Linked DNA regions of Oryzias latipes. The protein of the gene in region 1 purifies or fractionates together with the protein of each later gene. This does not show direct contact. Links are inferred from orthologs where the notes say so. Each region holds a gene or a part of one and is shown on either strand. Other genes may lie near its edges.

What was found.
Region 2: the proteins of suv39h1 (region 1) and chromobox protein homolog 3 purify together in Homo sapiens (affinity purification with mass spectrometry; 3 studies listed by BioGRID and IntAct, with this or other methods). This does not show direct contact. The link is inferred for Oryzias latipes from reciprocal best matches to the Homo sapiens genes SUV39H1 and CBX3.
Region 3: the proteins of suv39h1 (region 1) and setdb1 purify together in Homo sapiens (affinity purification with mass spectrometry; 3 studies listed by BioGRID and IntAct, counting the BioPlex papers as one, with this or other methods). This does not show direct contact. The link is inferred for Oryzias latipes from reciprocal best matches to the Homo sapiens genes SUV39H1 and SETDB1.
Region 4: the proteins of suv39h1 (region 1) and mecom purify together in Homo sapiens (affinity purification with western blotting; 3 studies listed by BioGRID). This does not show direct contact. The link is inferred for Oryzias latipes from reciprocal best matches to the Homo sapiens genes SUV39H1 and MECOM.
Region 5: the proteins of suv39h1 (region 1) and histone-lysine N-methyltransferase EHMT1 purify together in Homo sapiens (co-immunoprecipitation; 3 studies listed by BioGRID and IntAct, with this or other methods). This does not show direct contact. The link is inferred for Oryzias latipes from reciprocal best matches to the Homo sapiens genes SUV39H1 and EHMT1.

Annotation. Positions count from the first base shown.
Region 1 is NC_019865.2:30,912,363-30,916,478, forward strand, and holds part of suv39h1 (histone-lysine N-methyltransferase SUV39H1), read right to left. Parts: intron 3,150-4,116; coding exon 3,003-3,149; intron 2,768-3,002; coding exon 2,638-2,767; intron 388-2,637; coding exon 254-387; 3' UTR 1-253. UniProt on the Homo sapiens protein: Histone methyltransferase that specifically trimethylates 'Lys-9' of histone H3 using monomethylated H3 'Lys-9' as substrate. Also weakly methylates histone H1 (in vitro).
Region 2 is NC_019869.2:11,215,360-11,219,954, forward strand, and holds chromobox protein homolog 3, read left to right. Parts: upstream 1-1,319; 5' UTR 1,320-1,451; intron 1,452-2,123; 5' UTR 2,124-2,131; coding exon 2,132-2,277; intron 2,278-2,941; coding exon 2,942-3,098; intron 3,099-3,197; coding exon 3,198-3,292; intron 3,293-3,950; coding exon 3,951-4,077; 3' UTR 4,078-4,470; downstream 4,471-4,595.
Region 3 is NC_019874.2:19,104,948-19,109,673, reverse strand, and holds the start of setdb1 (histone-lysine N-methyltransferase SETDB1), read right to left. Parts: upstream 3,075-4,726; 5' UTR 2,982-3,074; coding exon 2,965-2,981; intron 2,135-2,964; coding exon 1,931-2,134; intron 1,848-1,930; coding exon 1,681-1,847; intron 1,582-1,680; coding exon 1,538-1,581; intron 1,269-1,537; coding exon 1,142-1,268; intron 1,057-1,141; coding exon 886-1,056; intron 769-885; coding exon 567-768; intron 492-566; coding exon 418-491; intron 325-417; coding exon 134-324; intron 1-133. UniProt on the Homo sapiens protein: Histone methyltransferase that specifically trimethylates 'Lys-9' of histone H3. H3 'Lys-9' trimethylation represents a specific tag for epigenetic transcriptional repression by recruiting HP1 (CBX1, CBX3 and/or CBX5) proteins to methylated histones.
Region 4 is NC_019871.2:23,081,174-23,085,289, forward strand, and holds part of mecom (MDS1 and EVI1 complex locus protein EVI1), read right to left. Parts: intron 3,125-4,116; coding exon 3,013-3,124; intron 2,914-3,012; coding exon 2,766-2,913; intron 2,670-2,765; coding exon 2,489-2,669; intron 1-2,488.
Region 5 is NC_019870.2:25,911,039-25,915,154, reverse strand, and holds part of histone-lysine N-methyltransferase EHMT1, read right to left. Parts: intron 3,381-4,116; coding exon 3,258-3,380; intron 2,701-3,257; coding exon 2,432-2,700; intron 1-2,431. UniProt on the Homo sapiens protein: Histone methyltransferase that specifically mono- and dimethylates 'Lys-9' of histone H3 (H3K9me1 and H3K9me2, respectively) in euchromatin.

The DNA.
Region 1 (4,116 bases):
GAGAAGTTGAGGTTTGATTCCGGCGAATGTTCCATCTGGCAGGTTCTCTGGGTGTCGTCACACAGTGTAAATGTCAGAATGAGTGAAGTGAGGCTCTGACTCAGCACCTCTGAGTCATGGAAAATGCTGATTCTTTTTCTTCTTGCTTATAAAAAAACATGTTTAAAATCTTGACACTTTCTCACGGTCGCATATAAAAATTCATGAAAGGAATCTGTACAGTTTCCAGCATATCAACACAGAATTCCTGCAGTCAGAAGAGGTACTTCCGACAGAGTTCGGAGCCACACCGACACTCAACCCGGACCCTCTTCTTTGGCGAGCCGGGGAGCCCAGCCAGGCTGAAACTGGAGTCCATTTTGGTGCTCTCTGTGTCCACTGGATCAACTGGAAGTATCAGAAAAGGACAGCCCCAGTCAAACACAGCATCTGCATCTCTTTAGTTTCACAGCCAATGGCTGTCATTTCTTGATGGACTTGAGAGCTTTGTTGTAAAAGTGCATACACACAAATGACTAAAAGGTGCAGAAGAAGGATGGTAAATGACGTCTACTAATATAGCGCTTTTCTACCTTCTTCAAGGCCCAAAGTGCTTTACAGTCACAGTCCCATTCCCCCATTTACACACATTCACACACTGGTGGGGGCTCCACTGCCCAACACTGGCACCAATCTTTCACCACAGGCAAGGTGGGGTTCAGTGTCTTGCCCATGGACACTTTGACTCATGAGCGTACAAAGCGGGAATCGAACCTGCAATCTTATGATCATGGGTCGACCGCCCTACCGCTGTCCCGTGGAGTCTCTCAGCCTTCTATTAAACTCTGCATGGAGCACAGCGAGGTTTTTTATGATTAAAAAGTATCGATATGTACTTCAAAACAAAAACTACACACTTTTTTACAAAGGTTTATCTTGTTCATGTTTTAGATTTTGGCCCCCTGGGCGATGGAGTTTGACACCCCTGCTGTAGAGTGAGAGAACACTGAAACACATGTTGTGTTAGACATGTCAGTCCCTGCTGATCATATCCCTGTGTGCTGCATGGACTGAATGATAGAGAACTGTAGTTTTTGGACCAAAAGGAAACAGCAGAAAATATTTTTGGGAAAAACTCCCCCCCTCAGGAGGAATACCAGTTCTCTTAAAGGTTTCGTTAAGAAAGTCTCTTGGATAAAAGGCGGAGCGTGGTCAATTTAAAAAACTGCAGATGACCATCCTCAATAAATGCAAAAAGGAAAACATACTTCTCGGCAAGTTCATGTGGTTTGTATAGTTTGACATGATAAAATCCTAGTCTGGACGAGGTTAGCTTCATCAATCTGTTCATCCATCCATCTTTTCATCCATCCATCCATCTGTTCATCCATCCATCCATCCATCCATCCATCTGGTCCTCCATCCATCCATCCATCATCCATCCATCTGTTCATCCGTCCATCCATCTGTTCATCCATCCGTCCATCTGTTCATCCATCCATCCGTCCATCCATCAATCTGGTCCTCCATCCATCCTTCCATCATCCATCCATCTGTTCATCCATCCATCCGTCCATCCATCTGTTCATCCATCCGTCCATCTGTTCATCCATCCATCCATCCATCCATCCATCCATCTGTTCAACCATCCATCATCCATCCATCAATCTGGTCCTCCATCCATCCATCATCCATCCATCTGTTCATCCGTCCATCCGTCCATCCATCTGTTCATCCATCCGTCCATCTGTTCATCCATCCATCCGTCCATCCATCAATCTGGTCCTCCATCCATCCATCCATCCGTCCATCCATCTGTTCATCCGTCCATCCGTCCATCCATCTGTTCATCCGTCCATCCATCTGTTCATCCATCCATCCGTCCATCCATCTGTTCATCCATCCGTCCATCTGTTCATCCATCAATCTGTTCATCCATCCATCCGTCCATCCATCTGTTCATCCATCCATCCTTCCATCATCCATCCATCTGTTCATCCGTCCATCCGTCCATCCATCAATCTGGTCCTCCATCCATCCATCCATCTGTTCATCCATCCATCCGTCCATCCATCAATCTGGTCCTCCACCTATCCTTCCATCATCCATCCATCCATCCATCTGTTCATCCATCCATCCATAAGGCTTGCAGGCTTTGCCGAAGCCCATTGCAGTGAACTCTGGGTAAAGTGGGTTACACTCTTTAAAGATTGATGTTTTGAGGCTGACTAAGCTTGTGTCTGAATTCCCGCCCTAACCCCTATAACTAACTACTTTACTTTTTTTTTTCTCTAAACGGCATATATGACGTCATCGACAATTATTTATGAATCCACTGTCTTCTGAAGATAAAAACTTTGATGGTTTGTTAAAAAAATACATTTAAATACATTTTTGAGGCAAAAATCTTTCCAACGCAATGCATTGTGGTCTATATTCGCCGATCTAGTGAGCATTGATGCACACTGGTTTTTTGCAGAGACTTCTGGGAAATTTCTAGGGCACTGGATCTGGGAATTATAGATTAATGTAGCACTAAAAAATGGCAAACGCACTTTATAGTGCACTATATTTAAAGGGGTTAGGGAGGGAATTCGAACATAGCATAAGGCATAATAAAGGAGCATTAACAGTGCAGAGCAGTCATCATGAACTCACTTTGCATCTTGTAGTCGAAGGTAAGCTCCTCCCCTGCCCGGATAGATCGCGTTGAGAACAGAGCGATTCTGGGGAGCCTCTCATCAATGTTGTCAATGAACACATTGAAGACCTGCAGGTTAGGGTTACACTGAAAAGACAACATTTATCAAATCAGAGCTGATCGCTGTTCCTACTGACAGTCCAACATCCAACAAGTAAAGAAGAATGTATATACTTGATAAACACTAGGTAAAACTTTTCAGTTGCTTCTAGATCCACCTTCATTTTCTGCCCCACAATCGATTACTACCGATTACTACTTTAGCTACTCTGAAGGTTGTGTCTTGATAACCTGTGGGGATCAGGTGACTGCAGACACTCACACTGTGGTTGACAAAGTGGGAGATATTTCCTTGGTGAGCAGCATCCACTGTGTACACATCTTCTACATAGTCGAGGTCAAACAGGTAGGTGGAGCCCTGGCGGTCGTATAAATGGCCCCTCTTCTCTGCTTCATCTGTTGTAATTATCTGTAGGGGGCAAATAGAACACTCGAAATCAAATCCATTCACAAATCGTTTATTCTGACTCTCACAGTTGAAGTTTCTCCATAATGAACATTCCAGAGCAAAGTTGTTTCCAGTATTTTGGTTTTAGGAAAACGAAAACTGAAGCTATGTTTTCAGATTACTGTATACATAAATCTACCCACAAATCATTGCGCAGCTGATCAGAACAGTTGTCACTTTGTGCTAACAGCAAACAGCAGAAAAGAAGCCCACAGGACCCTCCAGCCCCCCTGTCATGTTCTACATCCTGAGAGGGAGTTGCTCCCTTCACGACGCAGACTTGACGACTGCGCAGACTTGACGACTGCGCAGACTTGACTGCACAGTATACGATACTTTCTGCTATTGATAGTTTACTGTGCAGCGGTTTGCTCGTCTTTGTTTTTCAAGGATTTATGGTATTATTTTTTAATGTTTCTATCCAATGTTCGGTTTTCATAAGCTACCAGTTCAGACGAGGAATACAAAGACGTTCATGGATCTATTTGTCTGACAGTGGATGATCAGAATGGACTGGAGCTGGGAGACTTTGGCTCATCCATTGTAGCTTCTAGGTTGGAACTGAGAGCTTTTTCTAACGGCGTTTTTTCCTCTGCTCCTCATCCATCACGATTTGAATAAAGAAATAATCAGAAATGCAGTTTTGTTCTGAACTTTTTTTCTATATGTCCTCCCTCATCAGAAAAATGCTACAAGAACATGCTAACAACAGGGTTTTCATTGAAGTGGGTCTTTGCAAAAGTGTAAATAAAATGTCATTAATAAAGTCTATTTGTTGCATCCAAGCTCCTTCTCAGTTCTGTACAGGCTCACAGCAACAGAGGAAATGTGAAACAGCTGTCGTGCTAGTGTATCTTTCCTTTTTTATTCAAAGTATTTTCATTCACAGGTAAATGCGGCTAACCATGTGATGAAATTGCATATTTTT
Region 2 (4,595 bases), on another chromosome or scaffold:
GCAAGGCAAGATGTAACCCTTTAAATATTTGTCATTATGCAAAGGGATTGCTATGAAAACTATGGGTTCACAGCTTTACAAAGTCAGCCAAGTGTGTGAAATAATTGTGGAGTGCATGAAGTGACATTTTTCTTTTCCTGGTTTAGCTTAAAGTTTACTTTTCTGTCTCTAAGTTTCGCAAATGTGTGTCTTTCTTGTTTTTTGATTGTTTGCTTGTTGATTGCTGATAGTATGGTTTTTCTTGAAGAATTTAGGCGCTTTTGGGGGATTTGTTTACTCTGAATAAAAAAAGAAAGTGGCATTCTTGTTGTTTTTTCTGATAAATATAAGATTATTGTTCACATTTTATGTGTACCTTTAAGTCTAAGCATTTTTTAAAGTGGGGTGAATGTCTTTCTCCTAACTTAAGTACTTTGCTAGTGCTTTAAGTTTTTATTATTATTATTAATCCAAGTACAACTCAAATCACACCATTTGGCCAGTGCTGTAGTTATTTGGTATTGTCAAAAATGGTAAAGAAGACATTTTGACAAAATTACAATTTTTCTAGCAGAGAATTTTTTACTAACTCGGTTCACTTGGTGTAGAAGATATTGTTCACTATTGCAAATAAAAATAAAAAAATAGAAACATTTGGATTGCAAAAGTGTAGACTGAAGCACAGATCATTTTATTTCGCCTTCACACTTATAGCAAAGGTATTGCTTTAGTGTAACTAAATTTAACAGACAACCTTATATTTATCAAGTAAAGATTACTGAAAATGAATCACTTTACATTTGATAATCACATTGAGACAGTAAATAATTTTCACAGCTTTAAACACTGATACTTAATTTTTTTCACACTCAATCAATACAACTGCACTGACACAATATTGTTTTGTGTATTTGTTATTTTATTTAGGGCTTTATTATTAGGATTCTATGCACCCAAATTCTGTAGATCATTCTATAGCAGGTAAGTTGGTTTGCATAAAATAAACATTTTTTGTAGTATTCTTTAGTAACACGAGTTTATTTTAGCTCAGAAGTCATTTGTAAGCGTCAATATCAAAAAAACTCAAGACATACAGAATATTTAAAACACAAAAACAACTATAAGCTGTTCCTTTATTAGTGAAAACGATAGAAATGTGTCAATGTTTTAAACATGCTGCAAAGCTTTACTCGTGTATTCTCATTTTTCATTTAAAATGAAAAAACATATTTTAAAGATTGTGAGATAAACCGTTATATAAACTGAGAAAAAATAAATGACGTAAAAATAAACTAACAGGACACCGTAGAGTCACAAGTGCTCTAAAGCAAATTGTTTCCTTACGGGCTTCCGTAGCCTACTCGCCTTTTGCGTTTGGCGCGCACCCTCCTTTCTTCATCTGTACATAAAGACAGGCAGTGACCGCGTGGTTGAATAAGTCGTCACCGAGGTCATTTTCTAGGCTTTACAAGGTATGTAAGCTACGTTTACCGGTATTAAATGCTGCATCTCATCTCTTTGTTTTTGAACTTTTTTTCTTAAATAACTAAGACGTAAGGAGTAATTTAAGCTAACTTCTTCATCATAGAAATGAATGCAATGAACCGAACAGAATTTGTATTTGACTCTTCACAGCTCAAGCTTTTTAAGTTTATCAAGCCCGAGTGTTGTATGAATAGTATACTTTTAGTTTTAGACTGTTGATTGTCTCGTTTTGCTATTGCTATTAACTTAACACTAGCACGAACAATCTTTCGTTTTTTTGTTGGGTGTCGATATTGCTGTATTGTTGTAATTATTTGAGGCGTTAAGGTAAGATCTAAAGAAAACACGTTTTTGTAGCATGTTGATGTTCCTTTTTAGTAAAAAGATATAAACAATGGTACCATGGCCTCAAACTGTTTTGGCTACGTTAGCATGTTGGCTAACCCAAAGGACGCTAGTACCATTTACGGAAAACTTGCGGAGTGAACGTGGCCGAGTCGCGTCCGTCGTAAAAAGTTGGAAAAACTAAACACACACATGCTGTACACCTTTATATTTACGGTACAAGCCTTTCTGCTAAATGTGGGTCCTACAGGTGAAGTGGAAAAGGGCAGTTGCGTGATACATCGGCAATTGACTCTCCTTCCTCTTGGTTTTAGAGGCCAGAATGGGCAAGAAGCAGAATACAAAGAGTAAGAAGGACTCACAGGACACGCAGGAAGAGCCAGAAGAATTTGTTGTGGAAAAAGTACTCGACCAGCGTCTCGTCAATGGGAAAGTAGAGTTCTACTTGAAGTGGAAAGGATTTACAGAGTGAGTTAACTGGAGCCTCTCCAGCTAGTTCTTTAGAATGGGGAAGGGGGGTTGGCCTGTTTACTCTGTTACCACATTTTTATGTGGTTAAGGAATCAGACATTTACAATAGATTAGCATGAGCCTTAGATCCAATTTTAAAGTTTTTGTACATTTATACTATGATTCTTAATTTGACCCCTCCCCCTCCTTTAACTTGAGCTTTCATTTAGCTAAAATTAGCCAAATTTTTGGCCTCGATTTTCCTTCTGGCTTATGGGTATACAAAATGGGCTGAATACTTCAGGAAAAGAACAAGACAATTGGCTCGAATGTGGCAAGCATCTGCCCTTTTTCTTTGTTTTCCACTCACGCTGTAACTACCCATATAACGTAAACCAAAATTACAAATAGTTCATTTACATGCAAGAAGACACCAGATTATATGCTTTAGACAATTTTCTCATAACTTGACCAGTCTTGTTATTTTTTAAAGAACACCAGATTGCCCTGATCACTTGATAACCCAGATCATTTGGATCTGATTGGTTTCAGATTGTTCTGAACATGTAGTAAAGTCATTTTTGCATGAAGCTGCTAGTGTTCTCCGCATCCTGTTAGCTTTACATTTTTTTTAAAAGTCATGATTTATATGCAATTGATCACAGCCCTCTTAACTATTTAGTGCTGACAACACCTGGGAGCCGGAGGAGAACCTGGACTGTCCTGAGCTGATTTCTGCATTTTTGGAATCACAAAAGAATATTAAGGAGAAGCCTGCTGCTGTTAAAAGGAAAGCCTCCACAGATGAGCCAGAGACAGAGCCCAAGAAGAAAGACATGGTATGTCACAATGTCATTGCAGTACTTTGAGCTCAGTTCTAATTAGTCATTCTTCCATTTTAAAACTGTTTTCTGAATGTTCATGTGCTTCCACTTTAGGCTGAGAAACCACGTGGCTTTGCCAGAAACCTGGAGCCAGAGCGAATTATTGGAGCAACTGACAGTAGCGGGGAGTTAATGTTTCTGATGAAATGGTACATTTTTATAGAATGTCTCTGACTGTCTACTAGACAGAACCTTTAAAAGATGTTTATGAAATGAAAAAAATTATAAGATAAACATCCCACTTTAAAATCTGGTTCATAGGATTATCATTGTAAAACTCCTCACTACACACTTTATACACTTTTCTCAGACAAACAAACATTTTCACACTTTTCTCTCTTGTTTAAACTCTCAAATAAGACAATAAGTCCAATATTTTAGAAAGCAGACAAAAATCTGGTCACAATGGAAGATGTTTGTAATGGGCAAGCTAAACGCATTTGTACAGGAGACATGGGAGGGAGGAGATGGATGACATGGTCATCAACCAATCAGGATCCAGAGGGCAATCAAAATAAACATGCAAAGATATTTATAAAAATTTGAAGCAGCGATAGATAAACCACAGCATAGGGAGGGGTTAATGTAAAACTTGTTTTAGGTGAGCAGTACAATTTGGCCCAGAATGAAAACTTCTAGTTTGAACGTTGTTCACATTTTCTCTTAACTTCATTGGTTGGTTCACAAAAGAAACATTGTGGAAAGATGTTATTTATTGTGGAATATCATATGACTAATTTTTTTAAAGTAGTTTTATGTTGAATGTTTTTTTTTTCCATTTGTGTAACGCTGTTTAATTTTTTACAGGAAAGACTCCGACGAAGCGGATTTGGTCCCGGCCCGTGAAGCCAACACTCGCTGCCCTCAGGTAGTCATATCCTTCTATGAGGAGCGACTGACGTGGCATTCCTGTCCAGAAGATGAAGCTCAGTAACTGTTGTAGTTTGTGCTGTTCTTTGCATTACCTCTGCTCCTTTCTCAGGACGTTCTGTGCTCCTGTTTCCTGCCTTATCCTTCTAGTTACATGAATTACATAGATTTTTTTTTTTTTTACGCTTGTGTGGTTTTCAATGAGCTTTAAGGTTGTATATACTGGTTCAAAGCTTTTTGAGCTGTCAAAGGTTTTGCAATGTATGATCATTGAAGTCTTCCAAAGTATCTCATATTAAGGACCACTAAGTGTCATACATGTCATAACAACTCTAATTGTTAACAGTTTTAGTGCCTGCACTCATTCTTCCTGTTTGCCTGCTTTTTTCCCCAAAAACATTTTGTCAACAGTCTGTAAATGTTGTTTCAATTTGTAATAAAAGTTTTATGCAGCCAACTTCTTCTTTTTATCCTTTAACCATTGTTTTTTTTTTTGTTCAATTTCTTGTATTGTGGCATTTCTGCTAAGGTTGTCTTCCCCGTAACTAACAGGTAGTTTTAATAAGTGAAGATGCTCATAAA
Region 3 (4,726 bases), on another chromosome or scaffold:
ATTAGGTAGGTTTGTTTAAAGTCAATTAAATTAAGATTTAGGGAATTTCTAGACCAACTGAGTCTTTAAGGATCTTTAGTGTTTTTACCAACAAAACAAAAGAGTTATGGGGAAAAATCAGAAACAGACGTACTAAAAAGAGAATCTTGACCAAGCTGCCATCCACTTCCTCCACCCTGCTCTTCCACCAAGTTCCTTCCCACTCCGTCTTGATTATTTGGCCGGCCTTGAGGAGCACCATCGGCCTGCTGGGATAGGCAGAGATATACTCCTCGATAAAGTCTCGACAAGAAGCATCTTCTATGTCCTCCCAAGTGTGTTTTACTGTAAACAAAAAACAAGAAAGATCTTCTTTGTTAAAAACTTCATTAAAAAATGTGCATTTAAATCACTAAAATCTGGGAAAGAGTCCCTTACAAGGTCTGCAAACAGGGTAAAGTTCAGGAAGTATCACATAGGAAGCATAGCCATCATCGAAGAAGATCAAGAACCTGCAAAACATACAGGGACAGCAATTGTTTAAATAATGACCAGCACAGGGCCTCTTTAGATTTGGGAGCACCCACCTCATGCGGTTCTTGTTGTTGGGCATTTCTGCTACGATTCCTGCATACAGCCACACCAGGTTGCCATCTTTGTACTTGGCAACTACTCGAGCCCCAACAAACAGACTCTCCAGAGTGGGGTTGTAGTCGAAAGCCACATGGTTTCCCGACAGCAGACTCTTGCCTTTATCAAACTTTACTTTGTATTTGTAAACCCCACCTCCTGATTTTAGACAGAAGCACCAGAGACAAAAGAAATAATTAAAAAAGGTAAAAAATACCGGAAAACCCAACAAGTGTTTACGCACTAATTTAAAGAAACTTGGAGAAAAGAACACACCAATAGGGTTGATGGCAACAAGAGTGCCTCTGTGCCAGGTCTTCGTGCGTTTCTTTCCCAGAATGTTCATCCCAATTTTGAGCTCATCTTCTTTTATGTTTGGGCTCGGCTGAGTCATTCCTTGGGATGGGGCCTGAGACACAAACACTGCTGGTGCCGAGCTTTGAATACCTGCAGGAAGAAGAGCCACAAATGAGAGCAAGTCGAGGAAGATATCAAGAAGAATTGTGATGCAGGAGCATCAGTATTTGCTCACCTGAAGGAGCAGAGAGCTGTGTTGGAGATCGAAGCAACGCAGCAGATGCTGGAGACTTGGCGACTATTTGGACCAACTTCTGAACTTGGTGGGAGGTTTTCTGCAGAACTGCAGAGGCTTCCTTTAACTGTTTTAACAACAAAAAATCAAGTAACTGTGTTTTTTTATTGCTTCACTTCATATGGATAGGGCAAAGAAAAGGCAGAACATTCAGCGTTTCCAATGTCTTCTTAATGTTTTTTATCCTAAACTGCATAAAATCTTTTCAAAATCTGGTCAAAATAAAGATACATATTACTTTTCCTTCTTCTGTGAAACATTCCATACATAAAATAAAAAATGTTTATTTAAAGATAGAACAACTTGTTTATTGCGAACATTTAATTGATCTCTTACCGCAGGGTCTTTAGAGGGGGTTAATGTCTTGTTTGGGGGAACCACTGATTGAGTAAATTAAAAACAGGAAAAGATAATAATGAGGAAACATCTTTTATCAATGTATAGTCATACTTTCTCCATGACAAATTAATATAACTTACAACAACCAACAGCAATAACGTCGTCGTCATCATCGTCGTCTATCTCTATAACTTCAGAGGGCAGGGAACCTCCTCCGCCTCCCTCATCCTCGGAGCCGCTCTCACGATAAACAAGACCATTCTTCTTACAAGCTTCCTTCACCAGCTTCTCACACTCTATTACAGACCTGCAATGAAATGAGGAGCATGGCGTCAACCATCTAGACACGGTGACACAACAAATAAATCAAAGGCAGAAGCACATTCTTACTGGTTGGCATCAGTAAGCAGCATCTCCGTCTTTGCCTCCTCTTCCTCTTTCTGCTCCACCCATTCCTTAAGCTCCGTCAGCTGAGCTTTCTTCTTCTGGACAATGTCGCTCTTTTCCACAGCTTCATCAATCCATTTCTTCAGCTCATCCAGGGATATGCCAAACTCTTCCTCCAGACTGGAGTCCCAGCCATCCACCTCCATTCTGAAGAAGAACAGTCGGTAAGAAAGAAGTTGAATAATTAAAAAAAGATTTAAAAATAAAACATTTAAATGAAAACTAAAATGTGTCCATGATCAAATAAAACTTTCTTGATCTATACAAAAAACTGTGCGAAGATTAATTGGAAATGCTTTAAAATATTAAAATGATTAATTACTATGACAAATGTGGAGACCAAAAGAGATGCTGTGACTAAATCAATAAAAGAGCAATTAAAAACAAAGACTGTGAGATTTATTTAAAAAAAACAGTCTGTAAAGCAGGGAAAGAAAACAAAATATTGGGGATAACACATCAACAAACACAACAGGCTTTCCATCAATAGCTGATAGTAAGGTCTCAAATGATCTTAGTCAATAATTTGAAAGAAAATCGTGGAACTAAATAATTTGGACCAACTACGTCACATTAAATAAATATTAAAAGCATTACAGAAAAATAATGTCTACAAATTAGGATGAATTCTTTTGTTTAGCTTTACCTTTTTAGCACAAACAGTATAACTTAAAATCAGAAAAAGGAGAAACAGAGCAAGTTTTCTTTTAAGAAAGGGCTGCAAATTAAAATCTCCACAGATTCAGTAAACGGTGCTAAAAGAGCAGCATGGTGGAGACAAGATGCTGCTGGAGCTCGATACTGGATGCATGCTAGCTGGTTAGCTTAGCATAAACGCTTCATATGAACGTAAACACCCAAGAGTGCATAAGTAGGTGGCTGTAGAACGTGCATATTTATTTCGTCTGGGGGGTGTTCTTAAGGATGCGGCTTATGTATTTTATATTAAAAAAAAAACATCTGGAAAAAGTACATACCCTTCAACGTTTTCCATTCTATGGGACGATGCTTTAAAACTAGCTTACGTTAAAGCTACGAGCTAGCTACAATAGGGAGCGCTTGACGTGGCTCCCAGGGTATCCCGACTGGGCGGTGTTAGGTGGGCTTAGTGAAGTAGAAGCAAAACATCCGACTCATTCGTTTAACAGCGTCCAAAAAGTTCTACCAAAAAATATGATTCTTGTTATTATATTTTTATATTCAGAAATTTGCAGGGGTCTGTAAAGATTTTAAGCAAATGTTAGATAGGAAGGAAAAATCAACGTCAATTCGCAATTGCCCTGGTTCTCCTCGCTCAAAATGGTCAAAACAAGCGAACACTCGATTAATTTTGTTTGGTAAATTTTAAATCTCTCATTAACCATCATTTTTAAAGACTTTATTGTGAACAAACAACATTATCAGATTAATCTACTTAATTTAAACAAGTAGTGTTTTGATGTATTAAAAATAATTCCATGGTGTAATTTCTACGTTGCTTAAAAAATGTCCGTAGACGTTTAAGGACTCTCAACTTAAGGAGCATCAGAAAGTTAGTATTGGTTAAAGTGCTTAAAAACATTGCAGTCATTTATTTATCCTAAATTATTTCTGTTAACAAAAGCAACTTTTTTTTTAACCAGACAATGATAAATATTGAACGTTGTTTTGTGCTATTTCAAATGTATTTCTGTACAGGTACCAAAGCCCCTAGTTGGTGAAGGTCACACTCACCAACTTTGGCAATGAAATAAATTATTTATTTAAAATTTCCCAAAAAAATGTCACTTTTGTGCTAAATTCTTGGAACAAAAGGAAAAAAACAATACAAAGCATCTGAAATAAAAGTTCAGTTGCTTTTACTCAGGGCTATCAAAATGTTAAATACAGATCTTGATGAATAATAATAATAATGTTTGTATCAGCCAGTATTTATGCAAATTTATCTATACATACATAGATATAAAAACACTTTATTTGTAGAAAAAATTGTTTTGTTAAAATAATTTTTCACAAATCCATCTATCCGTCTATTACCTGCTATTTCAGAATCAGAGATACTTTATTGATCCCACACGTGGGAAATTTGTTTGTCACCATAGCAACTGACAGCAGAGGGAAAAAAGACTTAGAATTAAGTAAAAAAAAAAAAGCAAGAACAAGAAAATGTAGCATAAATGTGTTGTGGGTCATAGGGATTGCTGAAGCCTATCCAGCTAGCTTTTAGGTCAAAGGAAGAGAAACCCATAGGTCAATATTGATTAACTTTATAACATAAACAATCCTAAGAAAATGTAAAACCACATCACTTAAGCACACGTGAAACCCCACCGCATATACTTGCATGATAGTGATCAACAACTATTCCACCAAAATTCAAAAATGTAGAAATTGTCCAAAGAATTTGCGTTTCCAATTTTATTTTCTGATCATCCGTCATACACAGGGGATCCATGTCATGATTCCTCAGTTTCCTCTTCTAGGAATGTTGAAGGAGAAACTTCGCCGTAAGGGTCCAGTACCAGCTGAGCGCAGCGGACAATCGTCACCAGCAAAAAGAAGCAGAGAAGAAAGAAGAAGAAGAGGGCAAAACCCAGATCCACATCCACGTCTGACCAGGGCACAGGAGTAACTGGAGGGTCCATGCTGACAAATCCACAAAAAACTTTCAGTTGTCCTCAAATTCTTCATTTTTTATTCTCCACCACAGACAGAATGGGGCAGACAAGTGGACATGCAGAGCCTCATTTGGCACGTTAG
Region 4 (4,116 bases), on another chromosome or scaffold:
CACACATATACACATTCTCAGCCGCACACAGCACAATGGCTCTATTTTAGGTTTGAGAAGGAAGTGGAGTTGAATGAATCCTATCCTGCAGTCCGGTTCCCAGGGACAGGGCTCACGTCCTCTGCTGCCTCTCTTCCCTCTTCCCCCTCCAGGCCTCTAAAGTCTCAAGCCGGCCTGCGCAACCCCCTCACCTTGTCCCCCCCTGGGCTGAGGCCATGTCGTCCTGTGCTAAGTGACCTTCCCACAGCCAACCGTTCTGTAGCTGCATGTCACTTTGTCTAGCCCCGGAAGATGTACATTGACAACACCCGATCCAAAAACAAAACCCCAGCATCCAATGTTATCTATCGTGGTCATTAATCTGTCAACTTTATGTAATACTAGTGGATGATTTAGAAAGGGGTTCTTTGAACAAAATGTCTCAACTGTGACTGCACATTATTCTCCAGACATGGTGCAAAAGTAATGTAGTTAAAATCCTATAAGAAGGTTTGGGGTCAAAGTGTTAGTGGGCAAGACACTGAACCCCACATTGCTGTGGGTGGTTTAAGTTTGTGCCAGTGTTTGGCAGCGGAGAGTGTGAACATGTGCGTGCATGGGTGAATGGGAATGTGACTGTAAAGCACTTTGGGCCTTTATTGGAAAGTAGATAAGTCCTATTAAGATATAAGCGAATTAACATCTTCTCCATCTTTATTTATTGACTTATCTTCTTTTTTTTAAGTTTAATGTGCTCCATGTACATTCTGTTCATATTACACACCTTATTTCCAATATTTACCAGCTGATTGGTACATTTACTCCCCGGTTTTCTGCTCCAACTTCTCAGATTTTCTTTATAGCCTCTAGTTTGCCTCTTGCATGTCAGTTTGCAATTCAGCTTCCCCCACAAAAAAACACTCATCTTGACAAGAACCCCCTCTTTGCTTGCTTTCAAACACTCCCTAATTCTCTGGACTGGTTTCACTCCAGTTTACGCCTTAAAACCTTGATTTTTCCATTTAAAAGATCAGTCAGAGGCACCTCTGAGTGATAGATTTTGCTCACATTGCTGTTAGATGTTTGGTATCAGGAAATGGTTAGATTCTCCCAGTGATTAAGCTCATGCATACTTTGGATGCTTTCCAGACATAAGGTGCATGAGAGTCAATTCAAAGAGATTGAAAGGAAGACCAGGAAAACGTATTCGGGAAGCAGATTTGAATAAACAGCCCTGAGGAATTCTAAGTGAGTAAGGCTAAGCCAAAAGAGAACGCAACCTTACAGAAAGGCCGACTTTAACGAGTAAATGAGGAAGTCAAAGCAGTCTTTAAAATCAGGTTGAAAACATCTGGAAAAAGTGGGAGGAGCATGGAATTTGTTTTTTTAATCTGATGGCCAGTATTTAGGTGCAGGGAATGTAGGTGGCAAAACACAAAAAAAAAAAGACATTTTGAATACAACAAATAAAGTCTTGATGGCTTAAAGTCTGAACATGCATTTTACATTGAAGTCAGCACTTTTTTTAAACAAAATAACAACTTTTATTGATCCTTATTGGATGTTTTTAGTATAACCACAGGGTCTGAAAAAACCACAAGGAAACTCCTATCATCACCATCAGTGATGTAATAGTGTCATTAATAGAATAACTAGGCACGCATTCCAGCTAGCGTAAACTGTCATCTAGAACATGTGTGTTCTCTTGCTCCTTAAAAGGAAACTGAATCTTATAAACACATTTCTGAGTGTTTTCATTTCATAGATGATTCATACGTTGTGTATACATACTTCGTGTGCACTGATAATATTGACAAAAAAACAAAACAAAAATGCCAGTTTTGTACATCCCTACTGTCCAGAAGATGTCATTCAAGAACAATCAAACACTCCACACAGTATCTTACCCAGGGAGCCTTTCTGCTTGGGATTACTTCATCTTTTTTAACACAACCATTAGCTGTTTTCAAACCTGCATGTTTTCTGCTGATTACAGCAAATGGATTATTTGCAGGGCTCTACATGTGGTTGCTATTTGTGAGGAATGATGAACGTGCTAGAGCCAGAAAAGACAGATTGAGGAATGAGAGGTCTTTGATGAAGATAATTCCAACATATTAGCTGGCGAAAGGGGAACGACTGTGTTTTTAAGCATAAATATGTTTTTATAAGCTTCGAGTGGAGCACAAAAATTAAAAAGAAATAAAAGCCCTCCACGGAAAGAGACCTGATCTGTCTGTTAGACGCAGCAAAAATGTGTGAAATCTATGAAAAACGTGTAAGTAGTGGTGTTGATGGTGACTGACAGGAGGTTTGCTGGTGTTACCAAACCAGCAGTGACTGAGGACCTTAATGCAAAAGGTCACCTGCATGTCACCTGGCTTAAAAAGACATGTGCTGGAGAGCCTGTGGAAGACCTAAATTACTTCTGCAAAATTATTAGTTCCTGCTAATCAATGCCAGTCAAAGCATATTGTCATTATTATTGTAATGTACTGAGGAGACTTACATAGGTAGGGTCTTAGTGACTTACACATGAAGGGCTTGACACTGCTGTGGATGTGCTTATGCTGCTTGAGGCCTGAAGACGTTGCAAACGTCTTGCCACAGTCAGAGCAGGCGTGGGCACGCGCCCCCACATGCTGCGAGCGAATGTGCCTTTGAAGGTTGCTGGGGTCTGTGAACACCTGCTGGGGGAAGGAACCATACACACAGAGGAGTTACTATCCATTACAATAACCCGGTTGGAATAATCAGGACAATTCAAGCGAGTGCCTTCACTTTACCTTTGAGCAGTTTTCACATTCGTAGTGTTTGCCGCTGTCGTGTGACATCTGATGTCGGATCAAGTTTGATTTCCAGTTGAAGGCCTTGGGACACTGATCACACTTATATTCCCTCTCTTCAGAGTGGGAGAGCATGTGGGCCTCCAGGCTGAAAGGAACACAGAAGGAGAACAGCGTGTGGTTGTGAGAAAAACCAAACCACTGGAAAAACTGCATGATAGACCATATGCTCAAATTGTGACACTACCTCTGGACATCAGGGAAGACCTGATCACACTCTTTGCACTCGTGGAGACCATGGGATGAACTGTAGGGCCGCAAGTCTTCAGGTTCATGGTCCTTCAGCCCGCTATCCTCTCCTGGATTCACAAGACAGGATGTAAGATGACTATACATCAAGAAAACTCTTATTCTGAACTTCAAGAAGCCGGACATCTAACCAACAGCACGTTTTTAAATCCCTGTCATACCTGACTAAGATTTTGCTGTAGGATATTCTATGTGCATAGTTCTGTTCTCAAGTAATTATGTCTGTCAGTGTTTTGTCCAGCATATATATATAAAATTATTTGAAGGCAGAATGTAATTAAAACTGAATTAAAAACCGTTTTTTGAACTATTTTAATAGTGTTTCCAGTTGTCTTTTAATTATGGTTTTGCTGGTTTAGCTTAAAAAAAAAAAACGTGTAGTTTTCTGGGACATAGTTTCTGCAGAGCAGCAGTAGTTCATCAGAACTTCGACTCTGAGCTGTGGGCATGGAGCCCGGAGCAAGGAGCCCGCCAAGCAGTTTTTCTGCTCCTGATTCACAACGATTTGAATAGTCAGAAATTCAATTTTGAGCTTAATCTTCTTAATTTATGTCCTCCTCATAAGAAAAATGCCACAAGAACATGTTAAAAACACCAAAAATTCGATTTTCATGAGAGTGTGTCTTTGAGCATGAACATATTCATTCCAATTAGTCAAAAAACCTGTGGCCACACTAGATATTTAATGTAAAGCTTTTTCACTTTTGAATTCTGGAGCTTAAACTAAAAAAGAAAAACCCAATGTGTTATCATATTTCTGCACCCTTTTAAGAGGTTCTCCCCCAAAATGTGTAGTACTTTGTCTGTGAATGTTCTCATTAATCCAGGTGACATCTTGAAGTTGAGTCGTGGCATCTGGACTTAAAATCTTCCTCTTTAAATCATTTCACTTCTCATCCAAGTGGCTTCATGATGGAGCTTCCTGATGCCATGCCAGAAGCCATGACTCAACTTTAAGATATTACAGACCAATTTGCAGATTCGTGTACAACTATCTGAGCTGAGTTTTCAGTTTTCCTACCCGACAGCTCAGTTACAGTTC
Region 5 (4,116 bases), on another chromosome or scaffold:
GTAATTGGTCCGAGTTGGTCTAAGTCCACATTTCTTTAGAAACCACTCTCTCCAATTAATAGTGTTAGAAGACCACACCCCTTCTACTGAAAGTGGGCTTGGGAGAATCTGTCAATCAAACGCATGTTAAACATGTTAATGTCATGGTTTGGGTTAACCTGACAGTTAAAAAAAAAAGGAATCAGAGCAAGAATGGTTACTCTGACAAAGAGAATGGCTGAATAATAGCTGTTTATTTTTCTAAAGAAGACTATTGAATTCCTGCTTTTTTGGGGCCAATGGTTACTACTTGCTTGGAATGTCAGGGGGGAGGGGTCACTCAGCCCAGTTGTAATAAACAGTCATCAGGTCATGGACAGCATTTCTCTTCCTCCAAACACGACGGGTTGAGTTGATGCCAAAGACCTCCGGTTTGGTCTCATCTGACCACAGAACCTTCTCCTAATCTCTCTGTAATCATGAAGGTGTTCATTGCTAAACTTCAGGCAGGACTGCACGTGTCTTCTTAAGCAGGCGGACATCGCGATGTTAAACTGTTGCGGTGTAACGTATTTCCAATGGTTTTCTTGGTAACTGTGGTTCCAGCTGCTTTGAGATCATCAAGTAAGTCCTGCCGTGTTGTTTTAGGCCGATTTCTCACCGTTCTCATGATCATGGAAACCTCACCAGGTGAGATCTGGTTTGGATCCCCAAACCTAAAGGTGGATTGATGGTCATGTTGCACCAACAGTTGTCCCTTTAACCTCCAGGTTCTTGCTGATGGTTTTGGAGTTCATTCCGGTCTTGTGCAGGTCTACAATCTTCTCCCTTAAATCCACTGAAAGCTCTTTAGTCTTTCCATGTTTGAGAGTTTGGAGTCTGACAGTAGGACTGATTCTGTGGACAGGTGTCTTTTCTACAGGTGATTAGTTCAAACAGGTTTCTTCAATTCAAGTGGCAAGTTGAACAGGAGAGTCTAACTGCTCTTTGTGAACCAGAACTCATCATGTCTGTATTTTCCTCAATGAAATGCAAATAAATTGGTGTAGATTCTTTAAAGTTGATTTCATTATTGTTTTCTCTCACTGTTCAAATGAACCTTCCATTAAGATGAAAGTCTGTCAGTTTCTTTTTAAGTACGCAAACCTACAATATCAGTAAGGGATGAAATACCGTAATTTCCGGACTACAAGCCGCTACTTTTTTCCTGCGCTTACAGCCTTGCGGCTTATTCAGTGACGCGGCTAATTTATGGATTTAATTGGCGGCAGCCATGTACGTACTTTCGAACTCAGTGAATAGTTTGAATTCTCTATCTAACACCAAGCACAAGGCATTTATATTCAACACACCTCTAAGCAGCCAAACAGCATGGAGTTGACTTCGGGTCTTAGACACTTCAGTCATGGTTCAACAAAATGAAACACGCATGCCCGGCCGCATCCCAGAATCCTTTGGGGCCATTAGACCCAACGTGCACGTGATCGCCGCTACATTATGATGAAGCTTTCAAGTTAAAAGCAATCGTTAAAAGCAGCGTGAAAAAGTCCACCGTCACCAACGGGTTTGGAAAAGTCGGTTTGCTGCGTGACGGAGAGAACAGCGCATGGAGTGAATTTACACTCCATTTACGGTTTCTAAGGAAACCGTAAAAGCGAAATTTTGCTTTGAAAAACTCACAGCCTCCGTGTGAGCTGGAGACATCTTCTCCTGCTGATTGAGCTGCGGGGCCGATGGCAGTCTGATGGCTCCCACACGTAACAACGCACCCGCCCCTCATACACAAAACGTACAGTTTTAAGTCCGATTGCTTTGCACAGAAACTATTTGCTCCTTACACCGGTGCAACGGGGACGAAGTGCTCCTCCTTGAAGCTGCCCTGGCCAGAGGTGTCGGAGTAGATAGGAAGGGGAGACAAGGAGCGCGTAATTATAATGATTATATGGTTACTGTTTGTAATTTTATGTATGATACCTAGATTGTCAATAAGTAAAAAAAAAATGAAATAAAAACACCATAACTGAGGAACTTGTGAACAGAATATAGGTCCATGCTGTTTGACAGATGTCGATACACTCAAATACGTGAGCCAGAGGCAAAGCTGGCACAACCCACAATGTGCTAATAAATTGCACTCACTCTGGGATACTGGCCTTGATCTGTCAGGACGACAATATCGCCTAACACATGCGCGGCTTGTACTCTGACGCAGCTTGTGTATGTATAAAAGCAGTCAAACACGTGAAAATGGGTGGGTGCGGCTTGTAATCGGGTGCGCTTTGTAGTCCGGAATTTACGGTACTTATTTCCTTTCCTGTAGTTCAGATGTGAACAGAGACTGAATGAAACTGACCAGGATTTTATAGCTTTCAAGGGAATGAAGAACAGATGAGAAAATGTTTTTGTCAACATGAAAAACCGTGAAAATATGAGACCTAAACAGAATACTCACTGCTCTGCAGAAGAAGCCACAGCCTGGACAGCACTGGTGCTTCACCATGCCGTTGCGGTGGTCCTCACACAGAACCAGCAGCTGAACGGAGTTGGAGGGTCGCATCATTTCGTGCTTCATCACAGCGCTTTGACAGCGGGTTAGCTGGCCATCGACGCTCTCTGTGGCCATGCACTTCCTGTCAGCGAGGATGAGAATCTCTCGACTCTTTGGGGTCTCCATACGACAGCTGCAGAGCGGCAGCTCATGCGCCTCCTCCATCACTGGAGCTGATGTGTTTGAAATAAAGAAAAACACGGAAGGAATTAAAAATACTCTAAAGATGAATTCTGTCTAAATATCGTCAAATGTAAAAACAATTCAATATCCAAACTAACGGATAAAACCCTTTTTGCATCAGTAATTATGATCTAATAAGGGCGGCAGCGGCTCAGGCGGTTGAGCAGGTCGCCCAATAATCGAAGGCTCGGCGGTTCAATCGCTGCTCCCCCCAGTCTACTGTCGTTGTGTCCTTGGGCAAGACACTTTACCCTCCCTGCCTCCAGTGTGGCTTCACTGGTGTCTGAATGTGTATGAATGCCCGGGTGATGGTGAGAGATGCCGTAGGCGCACACTGGCAGCCACGCCTCCGTCTGTCTGCCCCAGGGCAGTACTTACCATCACCCAGTATGAATGAGGAAGGAATGAATAATGGACACACTGTAAGCGCTTTGAGCGTCTGGATAAATCCAATCCATTATTATTATATTTATTATTATCTAAAACTTGTTCATCTTCAGAGATAGAAGCAGCTGCAGACAAATGCCCTGATGTTTCCACGGCTCACCTTTGCTTTCTGACGTTGTGTTTGTGCTGAAGGGCTCCAGGGGCCCGATGTGTGTGTACTCTTTGTCACCATGTGGACCAGAGGGGTGAGACACTTGAGGCTGACCCCCCGCCTCTGGGCCGTCTAAGCCAAACAGGAAACAGGAAGAAAATGAAAACACAATCAACCCAAAGAAAAATATGGAACAAAAATCAAGCAGACCTGGAGTGGGAGCAAGTTTCCTATACTTAAAGATGCGACACAGATGGAAAAATGCATGATTTTGATCAAGATCCTCGTTTCTGCTGTTCTTTAAAGGGGCTACATCATGCAAAATAAACTTTTTGAGCTATTAATTGTTTTTTTTGTATTTTCCAGCCCCTTCCAGGAAGATTCTGCGCAGCCAGCTCCGCCCCCGAGCTAACACACACACCCACTTTCTCTGAGGAGCTAGCAATGTTTGGGAAAAACACTTTTATATGCACAATGCACATGCATCTTTGCAAACGTTTGGATGTTGTTTGTTTTCCGGGGCGAGACGCAGACACGCTGCCGAGGCTGACTAGGTAGATGTCATGAAATGGGCGGCACCCACAAGGAGCGAAAGGCGGAGCCTTAGAGATCGAGTCATCTAACTCAGTGTTTTTTTCAACCTTTTTTGAGCCACGGCACATTTTAACCTTGATAAAAATCCCGCGGCACACCAGTATAAAAAGAAAAAAAAGGAGAAACTCATAGTCTGTATTGATCTACAGTCCCTCGACAATCTCACATGCATTTTTGTGATAATTTTGGCAGAAAAAGCTGGAAGTCCCAGCTGTTTTTTCTAAAAGATGTAATAAAAGTTAAGTTAGAAGATTTAAAAACTGTTTGATGTGTG